3 linked regions of the Macaca mulatta genome follow. The protein of the gene in region 1 purifies or fractionates together with the protein of each later gene. This does not show direct contact. Links are inferred from orthologs where the notes say so. Each region holds a gene or a part of one and is shown on either strand. Other genes may lie near its edges.

What was found.
Region 2: the proteins of MYH9 (region 1) and SPTAN1 fractionate together in Homo sapiens (co-fractionation; 3 studies listed by BioGRID and IntAct, with this or other methods). This does not show direct contact. The link is inferred for Macaca mulatta from reciprocal best matches to the Homo sapiens genes MYH9 and SPTAN1.
Region 3: the proteins of MYH9 (region 1) and ENKUR purify together in Homo sapiens (affinity purification with western blotting; 4 studies listed by BioGRID, with this or other methods). This does not show direct contact. The link is inferred for Macaca mulatta from reciprocal best matches to the Homo sapiens genes MYH9 and ENKUR.

What each region holds. Positions count from the first base shown.
Region 1 is NC_133415.1:15,262,301-15,265,946, reverse strand, and holds part of MYH9 (myosin-9), read right to left. Parts: intron 3,303-3,646; coding exon 3,194-3,302; intron 2,287-3,193; coding exon 2,155-2,286; intron 1,678-2,154; coding exon 1,471-1,677; intron 883-1,470; coding exon 745-882; intron 1-744. UniProt on the Homo sapiens protein: Cellular myosin that appears to play a role in cytokinesis, cell shape, and specialized functions such as secretion and capping. Required for cortical actin clearance prior to oocyte exocytosis. Promotes cell motility in conjunction with S100A4.
Region 2 is NC_133420.1:19,116,234-19,119,704, forward strand, and holds the start of SPTAN1 (spectrin alpha chain, non-erythrocytic 1), read right to left. Parts: upstream 2,417-3,471; 5' UTR 2,295-2,416; intron 889-2,294; coding exon of another isoform or gene 823-888; intron 241-822; 5' UTR 223-240; coding exon 190-222; intron 1-189. Other genes in the region: uncharacterized protein LOC114672723, read left to right, coding at 823-888, 2,417-3,243. UniProt on the Homo sapiens protein: Fodrin, which seems to be involved in secretion, interacts with calmodulin in a calcium-dependent manner and is thus candidate for the calcium-dependent movement of the cytoskeleton at the membrane.
Region 3 is NC_133414.1:26,496,119-26,499,864, forward strand, and holds the start of ENKUR (enkurin), read right to left. Parts: upstream 2,401-3,746; 5' UTR 2,210-2,400; coding exon 2,203-2,209; exon of another isoform or gene 2,186-2,202; intron 1,862-2,185; coding exon 1,606-1,861; intron 1-1,605. UniProt on the Homo sapiens protein: Adapter that functions to localize a calcium-sensitive signal transduction machinery in sperm to a calcium-permeable ion channel.

The sequences.
Region 1 (3,646 bases):
CCATACGGCGCTCACCTGCGCCACCAGGCCACCTTCTCCGTGCCCCTCTCTCACCTGCCAGGGGGGCCACAGCCCCTCCCCCTCTTTAGCCCCGCGGTACCCCGGGCTGCTCTCCTTGCTTTCTGTTCTGTGTGGCCCCCACAACACCCCTGCCCAGGGGCCAGAGCTTGGCACAAGCGCCTCAGTCCTCTCATCCCAGTCCCGGGCGGACGTCCTGCCACCTCAGCCTTTGGAGCTCCCGTGGTCTGAGGAGCCCCAAAAGGTGGGGAGGCTGCCTTCTCCTCTATCTGGTTCCCCGGCTGCTATCTGCTCCCTGGGCAGACACTGACAGGGACCAGCTCATTCTCAGGAGGAACGGCTGCCGCCCAGGGACAGTGGAGGAGTACCCCACATCTCAATATAGAGCCACCAAAGTGTCCCCAACCCCACAGTGACCAACGCCTGCAATGCTGCACAGATGGCCACCTTTACAAAGGCTTGGGTCTCACGGGTGGCAAAGAAGAGCTTTCCAGAGGGGAAAGGACAAACCCTTCCCCAGGGCCCCTTCGTTTATGAGGAAATCCCTCAACGATGGCCCATGGGACCTCCAGGGAGCACCTGCAGCGAGGCAGAAACCCTCGTGCTGCCGGCGGAAGAGCCAGGAAGCAGCAGCGGCAGGGCTGGGGTCCGGCCCGGCAAGGGTGACCACACTCTCCCATCCACGGCCTCCCTGGAGCAGCTGCAGGCGGCAGCCGCGGGCCTCACCTTGGCCAGCTTGCAGTTCTGGTCCTCCAGGATGATCTGCTCCTCCTCCAGCTTCTTCAGCTTCGCCTCAGTGGTCACCTTCTCCAGCTGCAGCTTCTGCCGGGCGCTCTCCTCCTCCTCCAGCTGCTCCTCAAGCTCCTGCCGGGGGCCAGAGACACGGTGAGGACAGCAGGCCCAGGGTCATGGCCAAGGTGAAGACAGCAAGGTCCGAAGGCCAGGTCCGAACACCAAGGAGAGGATACGAAGGTCTGTGAGCCCAGGGTCATGGCTGAGGTGGGGACAGCAAGGTCTGCAAGCCCAGGGCCACACCCGAGGCAGGGCCCAAGCCCTATTTGTAGGATTCCAGATTTCAAACTGGGACACAGGGCCAGAACACCGGTGCAATGTTCTGAAGGGTTTCCTGCAGCAAGCTCCCACCCATGAAACAGGCAGGATGCAGAGCTGCTGGCCCTGTGCCTCTCTGGCTAGCCAGGGCCAGGGCTAATGGCAGGGAAATCAAACTGGCCTTGATGCTGGCCCAGGCAGTACTCATGGAGAGATCTCAGATGCACATGTCACAAACTACCAGCCCAAAGGGAACACCTCTCACTGAGTGCCCCAAGCACACAGCGTGAGGAGCGGCCTCCTCAGACCCTAATTCCATGTTCTCCCAGCTCCTGGTCCCTGCTTCTCTGCCCCGCCCTGCCCCTCCAGTCCCACTCCTCCCCGGGTGCAACAGGCAGGAACCTGGATGTTCTGCTGCATCTTCTTCTTCTCTGTCTGCAGGTGCTGGCAGCGCTCCTCCTCCTCCTCCACCCTGGCCTCCAGGTCATGGCAGATCTCTTCTAGTTCCTGCTTCTTGGCGGTCAGGCGGGCCCGGAGCTCCTCAGCCTCGGCACACAGCTCGGTTTCTGCCTGGAGCTGCTCCTGCAGCTGTAATTTCTCTGCCATGAGCTGCAAACAGCAAGTGGAAAACACAAGCTCCTCGCAACACCCGCAAGTCACTCCATCCTCAAAAGATGGACGCCGTGGCTCAGGATCCCAGCAGGAAAGGAACATGCGGACAAGAGTAGCTTTCATCTGGAGAGCTCTGAAGCTTCCAGGCACCTTCCAGACATCGTGTCCTTGATTTTTCACTACCCCATGAGCTCCACAGCAAGGTCCCGGGAAACGGGCTCAGGTCATGTGGTAGAGCTGAGGTTTGAACCCAACACTGGTGAACGTTCCATTCTATTAGGTGGCCTCCCTACATCACATAACCCCAAATCCAGTCTGCAGAGACTGATCACTGTTCCCACAGTAATAGGAAACTCAGTCGTAGGAAACCCCTATAGTAACAGAAGAGGCCAGCATGCCGTGCCTACCGATGGCCAGCAGGTGGCAGCACCGGGCAGGTCACGCAACCTGGACGGAGCCTGCGCTGACACCCACCTGCGACTGCAGTGTCTCCATCTCCGTGAGCCTGTTCTCCGCAGCCAGCTGCTTCTCTCGGACCTTCACCAGCTCCTCCTCCTTGGCCATCATCTCCTCCTCCTGCCGGCTCACCTGCAGCAGCGGCTTGACCTGGGAGAGGAGATGGAGGTAGAGACATGCTTGGCTGGAAGATGCCCGCCTCTGCCAACAAGTTTGAGGCCTCTCCCTCACCTCTGGAAACATGAAAGTGAGGGGCAAGAAGACATGCTGTGGAGGGGGCTACAGCCTTCCTGGAAATCCATCTGGTGCTCTGTACCACGGGCCTCTGACCTGCTAACTACATTCCAGGGAAACTATCCCTGCGTGCGTGTGAAGATGTTCACCTCGGCATTGTTTATAACAGCAAGAAAATGAGGAAGGACCCATCTCTGAAAAAGTACCCAGATAATGACGTGGCCCCTAGGGAACAGTACGCTACCTCTAAAAAAACGATGCTTATGAAGGAATCGTAAATGGAACGTACACACTACAATACTGTTTATACGAGTCAAACTCAGCTATGGAAGAATGCATACTGTTTACATAGCTGAGGTTTTATAGGCAGTGAGAAAAAGAGCGAGAGAATAAACACTAAAATAGCTGCTGCTGCTGGTTTAGGGTAAGGGTTTATGTGTGAATTTTTATTTAATTCTTTAGACTTTTTGTTAGTTGGCTTTTTGCCATTACCATAAATTATGGATTATACACAAAAGCAGCCCGGACAAGTTTAAAAATAACGAGTTGTTTTTTTTTAAAGGCCAGGAAGGCCAGCCTGGGCAAGATAGTGAGACCTTGTCTCTACCAAAAATCAAAAAGGGCCGGGCACAGTGGCTCATGCCTGTAATTCCAGCACTTTGGGTGGCTGAGGTAGGAGGACTGCTGGAGCCCAAGAGTTTGTGACCAACCTGGGCAACATAGTGAGACCACACCTCTACAAAAATTACAAAACATTAGCCAGGTATGTATGGTGCTGTGCACCTGTAGTCCCAGCTACTCAGGAGGCCTTTCTACCACGCACCTTGGTGAAGAGCCGCCACCACTGCCAGTTCCGCAGCTTGAGGTAGGCAGCGCAGTTCCGCTGGAGGACCTTCATGGCGGTCAGCTGCTGCTGCCGCTTGGCAAACGCTCTGTGGGGTGAGGAACATGGTCAGTGCGGGGCAGTGGACAGCAGACCCGACCTAACAGTCCTGGCCTTGTCCTCAAGGCTTTTCTGGGGGTCTACCCTTGCCTGGGGTACCTCAAGACAGAAATTCAGGGAAGTGGCCTGGCCCTGGGGTTGAGATATATTTCTCCCACTTACAGGCTGTGTGACCCCATGAGGCTCTAATCTTACAGTGGGTGAAGGACCTAAGTCACCAGACTACCCCTCCACTGAGGAGCCCACGGGGTGAAGGCTCCTGTGAAGTAACCACAGATCTCACTCAGCGTGGGGACTGAGCATGACCCTTGGTCATTAAGCCGACTGGCCCTG
Region 2 (3,471 bases), on another chromosome or scaffold:
CTTCTGATAATTTAACACCAAAAAAACCCCAAACAAATCCTAAACAATTTGTTTAACAGAAACATCATGCAGGCAGGGTTTTTTTCCCCCTTTCTTTGGTTCATTCAACCTCTTTGACACAAATATGCCTTCACTGCAAGCCAGGCAAAACCAAAAAGGCAACCCGTTTTCTGCATGCTGGTCAAATACCTGTACTCTGCGTTTACGAAACGATGACAACATGATGGAGGAATGTGGAGTCTAAAGAGGGAGGGGGAAGAGCAAGATAAGCTTCTAAGGGCAAATGGAACAAAATTATGAAGAAAACAGATATTTAAAAACATACGAATACAGATTAAAAATCCAACTTCAGATATTTTCTCAGTGTCTTCTCTCTGACATTCTGTATAGCGTCTAAATCCCACAAGGGATTTAAAATGTGGAAAGAAAACCAAGGTTCCCAGGTCTTGGCAGTTACTATCTGGATATGCTGCACTGGTCAAGTCTCACTCTCTTTTGGGTCTCAATTTCCCCACTTGTCAAAGTAATAATACTGAATATACTTTTTCAAACTAAACACGCCCTCCTCCTGAGGATCCCAGGACAAGATGATTCCTAAATCCCCTTCCATTCAGCAATAAAAGAGCACGACTGCATGAAATTATCACAAAGTAGAACTCAAGCCACAAAGATCTGACTTGGGCCTAGCTTGCCAGTACACTTACTTCACAAAATACTATTTCCTGTTCAAAATTGGTACAAGAGGAATATGCAAAAAAGGTGGAAGAGAGGTGATGGTTCACAGCACAGCTGCTCCAGTCAAGTGGCCCCAAGTGATGAACTATGCGGTCCTCCTCCTCCTCCGCATTCCTGGAGTCAGCATTTGCCACTAGGGCGTTGCATTCTACAGTACAGCCGCAGCTGATAATGCTGCAACAGACCTGAGTGCCTAACTAGCGGGATCCTTGCATAGCCCACGGAGGACTGATTACAAAGGCAGGCCAGCCTTGAACACATTATCCATTCTTAGTGTAGATTCCGCAGTGACAGGACATGGGGGACTATTCCTGAGATCCACTTTTCAGGATGTGCAGTTGACCCCCCACTTTGGATGAAGGCAGGTAAGAAAAAAGCAGAAAAAACTTTAACCCAGGGAACCAAAAGACATACTTAAAACGGCTCTCCCCATGTCCACCTCTTCATCAGATTGCTTGACAGGCTTACACTGTAGCCTATGACATATCCAATTTCTCCAATTATTAGATGGCTACAAAATACACTGCCAAGACCAAAGCGTATCAGAGAATCAGTTACTAGGCTGATGGTTTGCCATAAGAACTGCTTCACACTTGTCCAGGATGAAGCAAATCCTCCTTTCCAGTTTCTCCATCTAGGTCCCTGGATACCAGTTAACACACTTTGAGGCTCCCTTTGAGTAATTATTGGCCCAGTTACTGAAAAAGGTTTATTGCTAATTTCCTGCACAGAGGCCCTTACTGCAGCACTTCTTTCTCCCCGTAGCACATATTAAACTTTGACTTCAATTTGACCTTTCAAAATCTAAGACATTAGCTAGCTGCAATGAAAGGGAAAATAAATGACTAGTTAAGGAGTCGGAACCTTGGCTCAATGGCTTCATATAGCTGAGTGTTCCTGCTGCTATTCCCCAGATTTTCTGTTTCCTGGCTCCAAGACACCCCCACCCTTCCATCTTTGATACATTCTGTTTTACTTAAGGCCAATTGCTATGACGACGCAATTTCTCAACACATTATGAAAATACTTCTGTTATTCCCGAACAGCCATGATGGTTAAGTTTTTCTAAAATACCATGATGAAGACAGAACAAAGGGCTTAAATATTTTAGGATCTATTATATAAAAGAGATCTGATTAGATGTTGTAACAGTTCAATCATCATCTCAACCCAGCCTTCTGAGCTATTCAGGCTTTTCATTTAAAACATATTCAACTCTTAACTTTAACAAGGCGCTTGTTTAAAATATATTTTACTCCAGTACATGAAAGAGACTTTTTAAAGCGATGTTCTATGGGAAGCGTCTAATCAAATTCTCAGGGATAGCTTTCAAACAAAAGACTGTTCTATCATTCAACACTGGTATGGTAGAATTTTGGACACTGTATCTCGACTCGAAAGACCCAGTTCCAGGAAACACACACGCACACACACACACACACACACACGAACTCCAAGCTATTAAGTTATTTGATTTGACCCTCATACCATACAAGCACCGCATCTACCTATTATTTACAAGCAAATCACAACTGGGAAGAAAGAAAAATGTTTATTACAAGGAAAGAAAAGGAGACGGCCAGTCTCAGACCCTTCTGCGTTCAAAGAGACGGCAGAGATTCGCCAGGCAGGATGAAATTAAGGTCAGAGAGCCGTTTACGCTACGCTCGGGCTCCCCGAGCTCTTCCTCCCTCCACGGCTGGCCGGCATTGCTGGTGCCATTCGGAAGAACGAGCTGCAGAAGTCGCTCCCGGCCGAGGGAAGGGACCGGGGGCGGTGCGGGGAGCGTTCTGCAGGGAGGCGGCTGGCGAAGATCCCGACGAGGGAGCCCCCACCCACCTGCCGCAGCCGGATGGGGCAGGGCAGGGCCGCGCCGCAGCCAGGCTTGGGGGTGGAGGGGAGGGACCCGGCGGCCTCGCGCCCCCTCCCCCCAGTCAGTGACATTCCAGCGGCGGCGCCGAACGTCCGCCCGGCTGCTCCTCCGCAGCCCACGCGCCACAAAAGAGGCGGCAGAGGCTCCCCCGGCACCTCAGCCGAATGGAGGCAGCGCCGCGGCCCGCCCGACTCACCTGTCCGCGCGCCGGCCCCGCCCCGCCTTAAGGGCTGCCCAGCTCCCGCCCGGGGGTCGGCTGCCCGGGGCCCCGCTCCCTCCCGGAGCTCCCCGACTGCCCCTCTCACCGGCTCTCGTGGGGTGAGGGGCGTGGGTGCGTCGGGCCGAGGGGGTGCTGCAGGACCGAGGAGCCTCCGCGGCCTCCGCTCCGCGCCGTTCACTCCGCAGCGGGTAGTGGCGGCGACGCGCGCGCCCAGCCTTTTTTATAGGCAGCTACGCGCGCTCCCGCGGCGGGCGGGCGCGAGCGCAAGGGGAAGCGCCCCGGCGCTGCGCGGGGGGCGGGGGAGCGCGCCGGCGGAGCAAAGGGGGCGGTGCTCCCGCCGGCTCACCGCCCGGCCGCCCGGCGGAAAGGGCCGAGCGATCCCGGAAGGAGCCGAAGCGGCGATGCGGGGGAAGAGGTGAGCGAGGGGCGGGCCGCGGGAGGATGGGGAAATGGGGCGCGCGCAAGGGGTGAGGGGTGATGGTGCAGTGAGGTCACTGACTACGCCCTGGCCGACAGAGACGCTCCCGCCTCACCTCCCTCCGCGCAACTTGCGCCCCGCCACCGCCCGCCCTGCGGACAGTCGTCTGCACTGCACCCCTCCGCCCTGGGAGCTCTTCCAGGACTGCGGAGAAGGGCGGGGCAG
Region 3 (3,746 bases), on another chromosome or scaffold:
AAATTCATATGGTAAAAATAACAAACATCAAGGCAGCTTTCAATACCTCCATGAGGGAGCAGACCCACCCACCTATTTCATTCATTACCATAGCGCCAGCACACAGACCAGTGCCTGCTACTCCCACTGGGCCCTCCCCACTCCAAAAAAAATGCTAGCAAGCACTTGTTGCATGAAATTACATTTTAGGGCCAGGCATGGTGGCTCACGCCTGTAATCCCGGAGCTTTGGGAGGCCAAGGTGGGAAAATTGCTTGAACAACCCAGGAGTTTGAAGCTGCAGTGAGCTATCATGGTGCCACTGCACTCCAGCCTGGGTGACAGTGCAAGACCAGTCTCTAAAAAAAAAGAAGGAAAGAAATTACATTTTAGTGGGGATAGAAGACTATGCCAGCTGGTGTTGACATAAGGAGAGGCTAAAACCTCCTGGATGAATTGGAGTTGGTTCACCATGTTGCCTCGGGCAGCCTTGTGTGCGTTCTCTGGGGTTGGGAATGATAATCGCTGTTCCTAATCCCTGGTTGTCCCAGGTGAGTGGGTGTCTAATATATGCAACCCTTTTATCTGCCTGGGTTTCTCTGCTTCCTGAAGGCGGGGTGCTTGGGAAGCCTGTGAAGCCGACCTGTCTGTACAAGGAGAGGCCAAGGTAATGGGATGCTGTGGAGTTGAATTCAATGTGATACCAAGAAGAAAACCCGAGGATGACTCAGACTCTAAAAATGTGTTGTGTAAGCAGACCGGGTGCCAGGCTCCCGGGGAATTTGGCTGGGCTGGAACAGGCTCCGGAGGAGGAATGCTGGTCTCCATTCTCATAACACACACTCCAACAGGGAGCCAAAGAATACCGCGACCGGAAATTGATCCACACTGCTCTAATTTCTCAAATAGATCCGCAGCAGGAAACACAGTTCTCATCCTCACAAATAAAGTCTACTGAAGAAAAACAATACTTGAAAGTCCCTTAGTTACAAATAAACTGAAGAAGTACATTATCCTTTCCCCACATACTCTCCACATAAGCATAAATACACCAAAAAGACGATGCCATTTTCCCAGAGGGAACTTTTCCAGTTTCTGTCATCTTCAATTATAAAGTTTGAATGGTGCTTGAACCTAAACTGAATGCTAGAGAGTTCACTCTGTTGGCAGGGTAAACCCCACACAAGCAGTGCATAGGGAAAGATGATAGAAAACCCGCATTTTTTTTTTTTTTTTTAGAGAAAGGGTCTCACTCTGTTGCCCAGGCTTGAGTGCAGTGGCACAATCATAGCTGACTGCAGCCTTGAACTCCTAGGCTCAAGCTATCCTCCTGCCTCTGCCTCCTGAGTAGCTAGGACTACAGGTGTGTGCCACTATGTCCAGCTAATTAAAAACACTTTTTTTTTTTTTGTAGAAACAACGTCTCACCATGTTTCCCAGGCTGATCTTGAACTTCTGACCCTAAGTGAACCTCCCACCTCAGCCTCCCAAAGTGTTGGGACTATAAGCATGAGCCACCACGCCTGGCCCTCATGTTTCTTTAGATGAGACAAGGATGTCTCGAAGGCCCGCTATTAAGCTGGCTGCCCAGATGCAAAACCTGTGAGCACAAGAATGTCAGTATTACCTGGGGAGCCACCTCCAGTCACCTGCGCTGTCTTCATGCTTCTTGGTGAACAGTCTCCATGAGAAGTTCATAGGTGTCTGACACGTGTGGCCAGGCCGTGAGCTCTGAAATCGATCCTGGTTTGCAGCTGTATGGTTGATGCTGCCAGACACATCCGAATAGAAAATCAGCTTTCTCCCAGGCTTTCCTGTGCCGCTCCTCCAGCCACCTGCTCTGTTGGGTGTAGCTCCTTCTGTTCCATTTTGCTTCATGGGCTCTGGAAGGAGGAGTAACAGTGCACAGATGGCAAGGTGGAACCTCCCAACACAAACTGAATCTCTCCCTCCTTCTGCTCCTCATTGCCTGAGCCTACTGTTCTCCCCCCACCCCCGACATTTCTATTTTCAGGAAAAAAAGGAAAAAACTTCGGTGATCTACAAACTTTGGGTGACTTTTCCTTTGGGCAGGATAACCAGAGCAGCTAGGTGGTTTTCCAAACGCTGGCTATGGCTAAACCCAGTCTCAAACAAAAATGGGAAAAATCAACATGTTTCTCTTCAGATTTTCCAACAACCCCTTTCTTCTCCTCTCTCCAACCTACAGGCTGCCCTTCTCCACCTGACATCCCAGTAGTGGGTGACTTCCAGCAGCTAGAGGCACTTCCCACCTTCCCCAAACCTAGGCCTGCACGTTCTTCTCTCCCTTCGTCTCTGTCTCTTCAGTCTGATAAGTTAGTCTGAGGCGTGACCCATGCGTCATCAATGGGTGCGTTAGAAACCCCAGCGATTCACTGCTATGGTCTTTATATGTAGGATAGTTACTGGCACATGGAAGTCACCCAGTACATATTTGCTGAGTCAGACTGCGAAAGTGTGCAACCGGCTGAGTCTCTTGGGGGTATTTGCACAGAGAAATAACATAACGATAACGACTACTAGCTAACTGCCGTTTACTAGTCACTTTACACAGTCTAAAAGCAGGATCTCGGCATTTCTAACAGCTTGATGACTTCACGTTTAATGTGGTTTTGTACAGAAATTTCCCTGGAACCCCACGCATGACATTGTTTGGAGCGACTCCTTCCTTGCTTACCTATAAGCCTAATCCTTCTCTTCTTGAGCAAGTGGGACTTGTTGCTGTCTTATCACTTTTCCACCTGTGTTTCTCTCTCAAGGCTTTTTCTCTCTCACTGCTTTTTCAGTGTCTATAGACCGTTGTGGAATGTTTGAGGAAAACCTTGGACTTTTTCACAGCCACTCCCTGTCTGGGCAGCCTTAGGTCAGCCTCCTCCTGCAGTTTTTCTTTCTGTTTTTCCCCTCCGCATGTCCCTCCTAAGAATGTGGTCCTATTTCCTGGAGCAGGAGCCTGTCTGCAGGCATGGCTGGGAAGGAAGCCCTGGCCGTGAGCTGGGGCTGATGGCACCTCTGGAGCTGGCTTTCCGGCAGCCGGTGACACAGGGGGTCTGGCCTCATTCATTACTAATTGTTGACGCTGTGTTCGGAGGAACATGTTAGTAACAGCACGTACCTTGATCGGCCACACTCAGGCCTGGGTGGAGGAGACAGGTGGTGACTCACACAGTGGTGGAAGAGGGCCTGGTCACCTGGGCTGCCCGAAATTGACAGGAAAGGCAGGGCCAGGAGAGGAAATCCCCCTGCACATCACCTCCCTCCCCTTCCCATCACCTCCCTCCCCTTCCCACCATATGCTCCACCCCTGCACCAGAGGCACTTGCTTCCCACTCCTCTGTGCTCTTTTTTTTTGAGATGGAGTCTTGCTCTATCGCCCAGGCTGGAGTGTAATGGCATAGTCTCAGCTTACTGCAACCTCTACCTCCCGGGTTCAAGCTATTCTCCTGCCTCAGCCTCCCAAGCAGCTGGGACTACAGGTGTGCACCACCACTCCCGGCTAATGTTTTTGTATTTTAGTAGAGATGGGGTTTCACCATGTTGGCCAGGATGGTCTCAATCTCCTGACCTCGTGATTTGCCTGCCTCAGCCTCCCAAAGTGCTGAGATTACAGGAGTGAGCCACGGCACCCAGCCTTGTTTTTTTTTTTTTTTTTTTTTTTTTTTTTTTTTTTTTTTAGAGTCATTGTCTTACTCTGTTGCCCAGGCTGGAGTGCAGTGGTGTCATCACAGCTCACTGCAACCTCAAACTCCT